Oryzias latipes: one gene and its partners. The protein of the gene in region 1 purifies or fractionates together with the protein of each later gene. This does not show direct contact. Links are inferred from orthologs where the notes say so. Each region holds a gene or a part of one and is shown on either strand. Other genes may lie near its edges.

Region 1 (4,082 bases):
CTGCAAAGAGACACGATTATGAAGTGCAGTTGAAACTGCGAGCTATCAGCTACGCGGAGCATCATGGGAATTCAAGATGAATGAATCCATGGAGGAAGCTGATAAACTCTGACAAGTCAAGAAGAAGCAGCTGAGTTTCTGCGGAAACAAGGATTACCACAAAAACATGCTAATCCACGTTACATCTGCAGGTTTTTTTAATTCTAACAAAGTCCGCCGTATTTTAGATGCAAATTTCGGCCAATCGGATCAACCAGAAAGGTTACCGCCCCCTGAACACTGTGCGCAGGAGCGCCGCTCAGTCGATGCGGGGTCGCTCGGTCAGCATTGCGCTTGCGCGGTTGTGAGGTTTGCTAAAGTATGGAAGCATTTGTGTAGCATCATTAAAAATAAAAGTCAAAACCATAAACGCTTTTTTCATTTTCCGAATGAAGCTGCATTTTTTTTTCACTCGCTCAGTTATCTTTGTGCTTCATGGCAGCCATGTATGTAGCCATTAAACATCATACATGAGTTTAAAAAAACATCATTGAGCTTTTAGTTTATAACAAGCCATTTATCCTTCTTAAACGGTCAAAAGACGTTACCGACAGAAATAAAAAATCTATAAATAATAGGTTATATATAATCTGGACCTAAAGTTAGTATGAAATCTTCCGTTGTGCTTGAAATTGTATTAAAGTCAATTTGCACTTCCCACAAAGTTCTATTTTACAAAAGTAGAAAAGTCTAGAAAAAGTCTATTAAATCAGTTATAAAAATAAACAACCGTGTATATTATTCTTTTTTTTTCTTATTAAAGAGCTCAATTTTAATAGGAATTAATTGTTAAAGCTATCTAGAGTTGAAACACTAGCAAAGACAGCAGCAAGTTTCATTCTGACCTGACCTAAAAAGCTAATTCGTGTTGGGTTTTTTTTATTTAAAAGTGACTAAAATAATACTTTTCGGTTTACAATTAACTCAAAAGAACTTAGTATTTAGATCTATAGTTTTCCTACTGCAGGAACTTGTTTAATTTTTTCAGGTTTGTGTACTGATTTCAACATCACGGCGGTTTTTAGCAGAGTTTTCAATAAATAATTCAAAAGCATTTCATACTTTGATATCAAACTGATTAAAACACGTTTTATCATAAAAGTCTATGCAGGTATTTTCTTTTTATTTCATTTTTGCTGCCACGTATGAAAACTGATTGATTTCTCCAGTTTATTTTATACTTAGTCCTCCTAGCCGCAGGGGGCGCTGGCCACGATTGAAGTGCGCATGACAGCAGACATGCGCAGATGTGGGTTCTGCCTGCCAGCTCTGAGTGGAATGAGTGAACCCCTGAAGGAAGGTTATGGAAAGACAAACACATTAATGTGTTTAAATTATAGTTTGTAATTTACAAAGACTAACGCCCCTTTGTGGCGGGATTTCAATTGTAGCCGCTACTGGTAAGATTCTCTTTAATGCTGAAACTAAGAGTTAAATAAATGCCAGCCAATGCTAGCAAATGCTAACAATTAGCTCTATTAAAACTAATTTAAAAATCAATTCAACATTTCCGAGGCATTTTAACTTAATTAAATGTTAGTTTGTGGTTTTGTCGTTCGTTTGAGGAGCCTTTTCTATTTATTTTTTGGATATAAAATGTAACAAATTGGAGTTAAACCTCATAAACCCTTTTTGACTAATTTTAGGTGAAACATTTTGGAGCTTTTTCTCCAAAAATACTTGGGCAACGGAAGTAATTAAGCTAATAAAATGTGGAAATAGAAAAAATAGGTCAGTTTGTAATACTACACTGGCTGAAAATAAAGAAAACAGCCAAAATGGATACAAGTTGATTAGCTGGCAGTGTTAAATGTTCTTCTTTTTAGTAATTTGGTTTCCCTCTTAGTTTCATAGATTCTTAGCCTTCATGTTTTCCTGCTCCAGTACAAACACTGAGCTGATTGGTCAGTATTAGTTTCAGGTGTTTCTTAAAGCAGGAACTCAGGTAAAGATAATGCCCAGATATATTAGTGAAAATCACCTGTTTACTTTATTAAGGCAGATATTGTAAAAACATCATAGTATCATTCATTTCTGTCAATTAAAACAATAAATTCAAATATTTTAATGTCTTCAGAGACGTTTGGGGCGACTCAAATTAATCTTTAATGATGTGAAAATCAACTTTCTTTTTTTCCCCTCTAAAAACCATAAAATAATCCATAATTCTTGCTTTAAATGCAACCTTTTCAAATGTCACTAACTTTAAAATAATGACTAAACGAGGCTCCTGCTCGGTTTTCTGAAACCTTTACAAAATCAAGTGAAAATTGCTCAATTTGTGCTAATTATAATTACAGTTTTTACTAATACAGTTATTTTATTTGTTTACTCTGGAATCTTTTCACCTCCTTTTAGGAACTATTATGTCAAAAATATATTTTAATTATTTTTAAACCAAATTATGTTTTAATATTCTAAATAGATCTGATATATAGTTATTTATTTCATTTTTTATTTTTAAATCTTATTGATGAATTTGGCTGAATTGAACCAAATCACAGAATTAAAATCAACATGTAAGAGGTTGCTGTTACCCCATTTGGCCACCAGAGGTCCCTGTTTAATTTGAACCGTTGCCAGCCATTTGAAGCTTCATGCATCCTTGAATGTTCAGTTTTTTCCCCTTTTCAGTTGATATTCTGTAAAAGGGTAATTTTCTGCATTTTAAAGAAAATGTTTTTTGTCTTATTACTTATTTTCTTTGATGCGGTGTGGACTCTTCAGATCTAAATGTTAAATTTTCATCATAGGATTTACTTCAGGAAAACAGTTTTTTCACCCAAATTTTGTTTTTGCTGTAATTTTTTCTTTTACTATGGGTATATTTGCTAAAGCATGAAAACAGAGGGCATTTATTTTTGTTTATTTTGATTATTTATTTTAAAATCTTCAATACAGATATAAGGAATGATTTGTATGGCTGCTTTTCTTATTTATTTTATGAATGATAATTTTATGTTTTACTTATTCAATGTAAAATATGTTTTTACTCTGCTAAAAAGCAGAGTAGAATGAACCAAATTCAATAGATCTTTTTAATGTTTACCTTTTAAGCGGATAGCGTGAGGTTTCAGCCTCTTTACTCTTGAGTGTTTTGGCCGCCGCCTTTTCCAGCTGCTGAGTTTTGGACGCCGTGTGTGTTCCTGCCAGCGTTTTGTTTGCCCCCCAGCTGTTTGTTCTGAGAGTGCAGCCTTTCAGCCCACAACCATGTGTTTGTGAATCCCCACTGAAGCCTGGCGCCAGCTGAAGTGCGATGCGTCCAGATCAGCCGCTCAGACGGCGGGCAGATTCGCCTCCCCAGGGCGCGGCGAGCACCGGCCCGCCGCGGGGCTCCATCCGGACTGCGAGGCCTCGTTTTTTTGTCTGCTGCCTGCTCCCGAGGGTCCATGCAGCTGACATGACTGCTGGCCAGCATGCACAGACGTGCTCCTCCTCCTCCTCCTCTTCCTCGACCAGCACCCTGCCAGCTAACATTAGGAAGCCAGAACTTCCCGACACAGGATGGGGGCGCATCAGGGATCTGTTTGACAGAAAGTTTGTCTCCTTTTCTTTCCTCACATCTGTTTAATAAACACCTTTTAACATTTTAAACACATCTTCAGCATCAATTACATAAATGATAAATGAAATAAATGTAAATCAGACGCATTGTAACCCCTTCTGAACGTCTCGGGTGTCAAACTTGTGGGTCTCCCTGCAGTGACGTACAATCTTACCCGGAGGAGCTGACCAACCTGATCAAGCACGGGATCATCGGCGCCACCGCCGGCCTCCTCTACGGAGGCATCCCAGCTGCTCGCTTCGCCCGCCAGCGTTATATCCAAGTGAGCCAGGCGGAGTTGTACACCAGCCGAGTGGATGCAGTGGTAGGTTGATGTTCCCGATCAGTAGGCTTTTATTTTCTAAACTTTAATATTTGATAAGACAATTGACTTTATTAGCTTTTGCAGAGCTATGAGAACATTTACAGACCCTCTCTGGTGCAAATGGTGTGTTGAACATGTTCTTATGACATGTTTCCTCATGATAGAGGACATATA
Region 2 (4,235 bases), on another chromosome or scaffold:
TGGGAACTGTACAGTTCTTCCAGGAATGGGAGAGGGCAGCCGATGATCCTCTTTATTTAAAGGATTTATTGGCCGGCCTCAGTTTTCTTGCTCTATACGTTACTCTATTCTTACTAAGAGTTCTGCTTTTGTGGGTGAGGGGGTTTGCAGTGGAGAGTCAGCAAAGTTCAGAAAATGTGAATATTCAAAAGTGGGGAACATATTTGTGAGAGTACATGCTGCATGAAATGATGGTGCTCTGATTCATCTCTCATGTACTTTGTTAAAGTGGTCAGAGGTCTTGTGTATCCTCTGTTAAGTTCTTCCCCATCCTTGACTTTTTTGAACCTTCTTTGTGTGCTGAAATTTGTATTAAAGTAGGAAGAAGCCTCCCCGCCTGTCTTTGAAACTGAAGCATTTACTGCAAGGGTAATCCAAACTCCACATTTGGGATTTTACAGTCAGATAAATATAGTTCTCCTTAAAACTGTCAAACTCATCCATCAAATTCTAGATGGAGAAGGATGATCCTGCTTAATTTGCTTTACAATACTACACCTCTGCCTCTGGGTGCTGTTACTCTGCAATAAAAACAAATGTTTTTGCTGCTCTTGAGCTAAGAGGAAGATTTCACAAAGTTTGCAGTCCTGCAGGTGTTGACTGCAGAAAGTGTCAGTTTACGTAATTACCATTCCACTGCTGAATTATGGTCACGCTAAATGTGTCCTTTAATGCAATATCACTCAGTTGAATGTAATATTTAAAAAGGAGGGAACGGGGTAGTTGCAATCGTTTTACTGCCGGAATCCTTTCACAGTAGCACACTAGATGGAATTCACTGATCTCGTGAAAACGGCCTATTCTTTCACAAATGTTTTCAAAAGCACAAATCTGTGTGCAAGATTTCCCATATTTTTAGCTGATTAAGTAATTAAAACATATAAATTCAATTATTTGCATGGACAAATGAATACTTCTGACAATATAGTTCAAGTCTAAACAGTAGGAATGCAGCAGAGCTTACTCAGTCAACCTAAACCCTAGTGAAGGTTGGATATTTTTCTAGACTACTCTAAAATAAATCCAAATGAAAATGGATGATATGAGACATAATGATTTTTTATGAAGATGTATAAAATTGTGTAATTAAAAGAGAAAAATAAAATGCAAAGTGTGCTTGAAAATATTGAATATCAATATTATTGCTTCTGCATCACGATTGTGTTCTTTAGACATTTATTTCTGCCTCTGACATCAATCAAATTACTTTTTTTGTGTCTGACAAACACAAATAATTGATGTTTCTCTTCTTCAAAAAATAGATTTAAAAATATACTATTCAAAAAGAATATGTACAAAATATGGTCCGACGAAGTGCCAAACGCATGACATTGTTCAATTCTGACATGTGGGGGCGGTAGAGAGTCATTCTTGGATTTTCATTTTGCGAGAAGAAGAATCTTCACTCACGTCACTGACCGTGTAGTGGAGGAGGCCGGAGGAAGATGGCGGGGTCCAAGGTGAAGCAGGACATGCCTCCTCCTGGAGGCTATGCCGCCTTTGATTACAAGAGAAACCTACCGAAACGAGGACTTTCGGGTACATGCATAATATACACACTACTCGACAGCTTTTTAGACTTTTGTTGGTGTTAAAATGACACTACTTTACGAATTAGCCGCGCAAGCTAACTACCTAGCATACTGGAGTAATAATCGTAACAACACAAAGCAAGTGTAGTAGCTGGTTTTACTCATTGACTCATCTACTAAGTTCTAATTTTGTCACTGTCTTGTTAGAATGCCCATAGCGTTTTAAGATGTTAGGTTTTTTTTTTTTATAAACAGCAATGCTAACCGCATGCTAACTACTAGCCAGCACATCTTTGCTGTTAGGTCAAGACTAAAGTCAGCTAAATATTTATTATATTACGGCAAATGCGCAATAAATATTCACAAAACTGTTTACTGTCAGGCTAAAAGAAGACAGATTTTGTGTAATAATTTTTTTTTGGTTTAAATCCAGTTTTTAAACATACATACATAGCACAACAAATGTCTTTTGCATTTAATTTATTTATTATAATAATCGTTTTTGGTGATAAATAAAATGATTATTATTTTTAGGCAATGTAATAGGGAATTATCAGTACTGGGTTCATTGCCAAGAAGAAATCATAAAACAAATCTTTTTAACCCACATTTTCTTAGGTTTTGTGCTAAACTTACTAATGCCTTTGTTTGAATATTATTATGATTTGTAATTTGCCTTTTTAACAGTTACGGAGCTGAAAGCTATACAATCATACCTAATAATATTGCAATTCTAATAGTAAACAACAAAAGCATCAGTTTACCAATATTTATCAGACTATATGTAACAATTATCTGGTCTGTTTTATATCAAAATATTTAACTATAAAACAGACATAATCCATTACTGAGGTAGTTAAAATTTATATTTTGAATGACACAAAAAAGTTAGACTTTTCAATCAGTTTATTGGCCAACAGATTCACTCAAATATTTCCAGATTTTCTTAAAGCCAGACTCTGAAGGTCAACCATCTACTGGGACCAGCTGGGGGTCAAAGAATGAGGGGGAAAAAAACACGATGTATAAATCAAAAGAGAGAAATTAGTAACTGAATCAATGAAAGATTGATTAAAGAGGTACTAAAGGAAAACATGTTAGCACTAAAAAGACCCCCAGTCATCTCTGTGTATAGCTGTATTACTAAAGGCGGGTGTCAGGGTCCCCCGGACCAGCACAAAGTTCTAAGTCCACCCTTCAAGATGGAAATTGATATTTAACCATCACTTGCCTTATGATACTTCATGTTTTTCTGTAAAAACACAAAAGCTTTGAAAAAATGTAGAGAATTAATTCATTGTTCTTTACATTTTAGGATACAGTATGTTTGGCATTGGCATCGGCATCATGGTGTTTGGATATTGGAGACTATTCAGCTGGAACAGAGAAAGGAGGTAGGAGACGTCATGCATTTCCTTGGACGGGGTGTTGTGAAGGTTACAGCAGCCATTGTGTTTTATAGGCGACTGCAGATTGAGGAGCTGGAAGCACGGATAGCTCTGTTGCCTCTGTTACAAGCAGAACAAGACCGAAGGTGATGCTGGAATCTCTTCCAAACGCTCGAAAAAGGAGAACGGTCTTTGTGTGTAACAACTGTATTTGCATTTCTCCAGGACCTTGAGGATGCTGAGAGAAAACCTGGAAGAGGAAGCAATCGTCATGAAAGATGTGCCAGGATGGAAGGTAAAGGGGTCCCTGATGCTTTTTTAAGTACTCCCTATAAGAAAATGAATAGAAATTATCTCAAATTTACCGGGATAGTCATTTTTAATCTACAAATGACAAACATATCAAGCAAAAATGAAGGTCTGCACTTCAATTATACATAAATATTATAAGAACTAAAAAAAAAAAATTGTTTATACCTTAACAATGACAGCATGTTTTATACAGATATTACAAACATCCAATCTCAGAAATTTAAATCAATTTTTTGTGATTTTGTTTATTTCAAAGTTTACAATGATACCAAAGAGATAGTTAGAACCTAATGGCAGAAGTAATGGTCCAAGTATATTCAAAATGTTTCTTTGACAGTTTTAATCCGGTTAAAAACCTCCAGAGGCCAATAAACATGTTTTTCTTTTTATTTTTTGCTCTGTAACTATTGCAGGTGGGTGAGAGCGTCTTCCACACAGATCGCTGGACCACCCCTCTGACAGAGGAGCTCTTCCACCTCCGGCCACGCGAAGAGCTTCTACACAAGCGTTTTGGCTTCTTGTGGTACGTTTAGTCACCAGAAGGAGCGTGTCCTCGTTTCCACCACTCTCCACAGCCAAGAGCACGTGGACCTGTATTTTCCTTCAGCTTGTAAATGTTCAATAATAAAGTATCTTTTTTCCGTACCCCATCTCAGCTTCTCTCTTTTTTTTTTTTCTTCTTCTTCTGTAACCCTTGTGCTATCCTAGGCACTTTAACATTGGGAGTTGGGTCATCTAGACCCAATAGACAGTGCTCTGAACCTTTTTTCTTCAATGATTTGTGATGTTCACTGGTGTCCATGAATTACATGAAATCTTTCCACCTTTGTCATGGTAGGGAGAACACGTCATTGTAAGGGTGGGGTCATCTAAGATAGCACAAGGGTTAAAAAGACTGAGTAACTCAGGATCAGTTAAGGCTTCTACTGTATTATTTTATGTGGAGCTTTACAGATACATTTTT
Region 3 (4,104 bases), on another chromosome or scaffold:
TTATTTGAATTGAAATGTGAGCCAAGCCAAAAATGTTGCTACTGCATTGAACTTAGGAAGTTGATCAGAGAGAGCAGACAGGGTTTTATAGGCGAGCCTCCTGGAAACATCCAAGACTGGATTATAAGGAAAGAACACAAAAACCTAAAGAGACTGATCACATGAGTCATTTAGGAGATTCTGCTCCACAACTGAAGTTGAACCTGAGATTGTGCACGGACAACAGAAGCTCTATTTCTGTGAACAACTACAGAGATTTATGTGGTTATTATTGATTTTCTAAAATCTAAAATACTGTTACTTTATATTTACTGACTTTTTATGTAAAGAACCCAGAGAGGATTATTTAGTAACAGATCGGCTTGTTAACATTTGGTTCTGTGTGGCTCTCAGTTTACATTTAGGCCCCCCTGCGACTGTCACACTTTCTCTGTTTCAAACTGACCACGGCCCCCATCAGAGGATGGAAACGTCTCTGAAAAGTCTGGGGACCCCTGCGTTAGAGGTAAGACTGAGATGGTTGGGACATGTCCAGAGGACAGACTGAAGGATGCTGAGTCTAGAGGAAGACCAGAGAGGAGGACTCTGGATGAAGGAAGACATGAAGGTAGCTGCTGGTAGAGGATGCAGGAGACAGACAGAGGAAGCTGATTGGCTGTGGAGACCCTGAAGGGAAACACCCAAAGGAAGAGAAGAAGATGAGTGGATTGGAGTACACACCCATCGAGGTATTTTGACGTTATTTCTGTTGTACAGTCAGTACTCTGGTCTAAACGGAGGAGGATGACAGACGTGATGGACAGAATGAGGCCTATAGGGGAAGTCCACATCCTCAGGTGGGGTCTCCGCTGCTCCTGACACCTTCAGCCAGAGTTCTGCAGGAGCTGCAGCTCATTGATGCAAAAACGGAAACAAGAAGCGCCTCCAGCTGAATCTAAGAGCCTCCAAATGAAAGCTGCGGGAATCTGAGCGCACGAGACGTTCCCAGACGTTTAAGGCATCAGCACAGAAGGGCCCCGCAGGCCCCGCAGAGGCCCCAGATGTGCAACAAAAGCCGCTTCTGTCTGTCCCGTGGAGCGGAGCCCGACCCGCTGCTGTCATCCGGGCCGTGTTTGCTGATCCGAAAGTGAAGGCATTCCTCAGAACCGCCTTCAGGTCATGAGATAAAGCGCTGCTTCCAAACCGCAAATATGACTTCAGCCCCGCACACCCACGCACGGCGCTGCGCCCGCGGCACACATCTCTGCGCCTCGCTCGACGCGGAGCTTTACGCGGCCGTTTGCAGGTGAAAAGCGGGCTGAAGACAAACCAACTACTGTCAGAACCGAACCGGAGCCAAGAAACGGAAAGAGAAAGTTGTGAACAGAACCCAAACAAATGTTCTGAAGTCCTCCACCAACCGGACATTTACAAAAAAACTCCAGGATGACTGCTCCCCGCAGGAGCAGTGGATCGGAACCAGTCAGTCAGAAGCAGCGGGGCTGGCGCTAAAGTTCGGCTGGTTCGGAGCAGAACTACTCACCCAGACTGTTGGTGGAGGAGTCCATGATCCGGTTGAGAGGCGCGGTGCGGCCAAAGGTTTGTGTTTTTATACTTTAAGGTGTGTTTTCCATGCTCACGCGGGAGTGTCTCACAAAGGCTCCAGTCAACTGCGGGCGCTGCAGCACACCGGAAACGTGAATGCCGCTCACAGCCGCGCGCTTCACGCGCCAGGAGGAACCCCGCGAGCCCTGCAACCGGATTACCGACTCCCAAACTGACAGCAGAACTCACAGGGATCCATCAGCGGGACATACCGCTGTCATGTCAGTGCTGCAGCCCCCCAGCCCCAGAAACCCCCCCGGACGCTGACAGCCAGAGCGAAAAATGTTAGTGTGGAGTTTTCAGCTCATGCAGCGCGGCGATGCCTGCTGCTGCCTCAGCGCCGCTGTTTCTGTCGCCCCCGCGTGGCGTCATCCGGAACTGCATGTTGCTGAATAAAGCATCTGCTGCTGCTGATCCCGTTTGATGTCCGCCGCTGGGAGGATCACATGACCACGTTCAGCCTCACCAGACTTAACCAAACTCCCAAAACACAATCCGACTACCCCCCTCCCCCCCATTGTCCTTCCCTGCAGCTGGGTAAACAGACAGGAGGATCAGATAATATCTGAATGCATCAGACAGATTTCACATCAAGGAGAAATGAATAAAAATCCCATTTTTGGGCTCTTCTGACAATAGTTACATCACAGTTTCTTGGTTTAAAAAACAGATTAAATTCTATGAACCATTTCTCTGGTCCAGCCTTCCAAAATAAAGGCCCAATACACAAATAAAAAGGCCGTTTGGATTTGATTTATTTCAAGCGATCAAAACCGAAAAGACAAACAAAAGACATTTATGTATAGATCAAGTATATCAAACTCAAGCTGATTTGTCACGAAGTGATTAAAAAATCTAAAAAGTAAAACATATAAAAACAGTTGCAAACATATATTCCTTTATAGTTACTCTTAATCATAAATATTTGCACTTATATAAACAATACACGACATATTAAACCTATTAAATTAAAATTTATTTTCCAAAAGAGTTTAATTATTTGAGGAGTAAGAGAAAGCTAATGAACATAAACCCACCCCTATTGTGCTTTATTTAACTTGTTTTTACATATTTATCATATTCTAGTTTGTAACTTCTGACAAAAAGACATGACAACATTCCAGAAATTAATATTACTCAAACATTTAGTGCTCAACGATTATTGCATTAATTATCGTTTGATAAAACTTCCCTCAAAACTATCAAAGCAAACCTGTTTTTTTAACGGCTTTCCACTTTTTTCTAAGTTAAATTCTTCTCTACTAAACTTTGGAGGCCTCTCCTGACTAGCTTTGGGGGGGGGCACTATTACTTTATGAATGACATTTATTTATCTTCCCTCTTGCTGAGCTTTTGTCACATTAAAATCCACCTGGTTGAACACTTGCCACCAGCCTTGACAGGAGGGTTTGGGGTTTGAATCTCTGCACCTCTCTGCCTTTTCCTGCTGCTGCTAAGACGTATTTTATGTTAGGAAGAACGGTTAGTATTTACGTAAACAAATATTTACATTTTCTCTGTCTAAAATCACCGGGCAGCACAGCGCGGAACTTTCTTCTCCGGACCTGCGGAACGATTGTTGCTGTTTTTCTCTGTTGTGAGGGGGAAGGAAAAAGGTGCCGGACAGAGGACGTTGGTTCCCCGGTAAGCTGCCGCCGTGTGGTTGTTTTGAAGGAGACTCGTTTTCAGGTGTGTTTTGAGTGTTTTCTTGTCACTTTGCTTCATTTTTTAATCTCTTCCGGGAGTCACTGATAACTAGTGGGAGACATTTTGGTGCTTGTGATCCTGGCACGCGCTCAGACCTCCCTGAGTCCGTCTTTCTTTCGATAGCCGTCGCTGTCTGTCTGTCTGTGTGGATCTACCATCTGGACGGTGGGTTTCATGGCTCCACCATGAAGGTTTCCCGCTGCCTACAGCGGCTGCAGGATCTGCGGCTGCTCCGATGCTCGTGGCAGACGGCGCGGGTCCTCCAGCCAGAACCCCACGGTCCGCGCGCCGCGCGGAGCAACCCACAGCAGCACCGGGTGAGTTCCGGCCCACCCCCTCCTGACGGGCCCTGAGTGACAGGTCCGAGATCAAAGGTCCCGTCTGTGTGAGTGACAGGTCCGAGATCAAAGGTCCCGTCTGTGTTTTACCTCCTGAAAACAGGAATCGCTTCTTTCCAGCGATTCATTTTTAATGATCAATGATTTTTCACAATACAAATATGTCAATCAAGTTACAAATGGTTCCAATCAAACGTTCATAAAAGGAAAAAAAAAGTAGAATTATTTCAAATTAAATGTTTGTTTTGCTATTTTTAAGCAAATGGATTGTATTCTATGTGAGGTTCTTGTATTTGTATTGTTACTTTTGATTACAGTGACAAAGAACTAGTGTAAAAGGTGCAAAAGACTCAGTTTAGAATAAAATTAGAATATGATGTTTGTCCACATGAATATGTTTTAACAGATTTAATTGGATCTCCCTCTGTTTTTATACAACGGTAGTGACAGGAGTTCTGCTGTCAATTCAGTTAAA

The links. The genes of interacting proteins can lie anywhere in the genome.
Region 2: the proteins of timmdc1 (region 1) and ndufa13 purify together in Homo sapiens (co-immunoprecipitation; 3 studies listed by BioGRID and IntAct, with this or other methods). This does not show direct contact. The link is inferred for Oryzias latipes from reciprocal best matches to the Homo sapiens genes TIMMDC1 and NDUFA13.
Region 3: the proteins of timmdc1 (region 1) and ecsit purify together in Homo sapiens (affinity purification with mass spectrometry; 3 studies listed by BioGRID and IntAct, counting the BioPlex papers as one, with this or other methods). This does not show direct contact. The link is inferred for Oryzias latipes from reciprocal best matches to the Homo sapiens genes TIMMDC1 and ECSIT.

What each region holds. Positions count from the first base shown.
Region 1 is NC_019860.2:16,689,682-16,693,763, reverse strand, and holds the start of timmdc1 (complex I assembly factor TIMMDC1, mitochondrial), read left to right. Parts: upstream 1-1,274; 5' UTR 1,275-1,439; intron 1,440-3,274; 5' UTR 3,275-3,295; coding exon 3,296-3,576; intron 3,577-3,742; coding exon 3,743-3,908; intron 3,909-4,082.
Region 2 is NC_019875.2:22,789,956-22,794,190, reverse strand, and holds ndufa13 (NADH dehydrogenase [ubiquinone] 1 alpha subcomplex subunit 13), read left to right. Parts: upstream 1-1,432; 5' UTR 1,433-1,484; coding exon 1,485-1,578; intron 1,579-2,886; coding exon 2,887-2,965; intron 2,966-3,033; coding exon 3,034-3,105; intron 3,106-3,184; coding exon 3,185-3,254; intron 3,255-3,684; coding exon 3,685-3,804; 3' UTR 3,805-3,920; downstream 3,921-4,235. UniProt on the Homo sapiens protein: Accessory subunit of the mitochondrial membrane respiratory chain NADH dehydrogenase (Complex I), that is believed not to be involved in catalysis. Complex I functions in the transfer of electrons from NADH to the respiratory chain.
Region 3 is NC_019876.2:29,030,315-29,034,418, reverse strand, and holds the start of ecsit (evolutionarily conserved signaling intermediate in Toll pathway, mitochondrial), read left to right. Parts: upstream 1-1,301; 5' UTR 1,302-1,522; coding exon of another isoform or gene 1,523-1,547; 5' UTR 1,548-1,578; exon of another isoform or gene 1,579-2,088; intron 2,089-3,178; exon of another isoform or gene 3,179-3,186; 5' UTR 3,187-3,273; intron 3,274-3,414; 5' UTR 3,415-3,476; coding exon 3,477-3,608; intron 3,609-4,104. Other genes in the region: eml3 (echinoderm microtubule-associated protein-like 3), read right to left, coding at 1,523-1,547.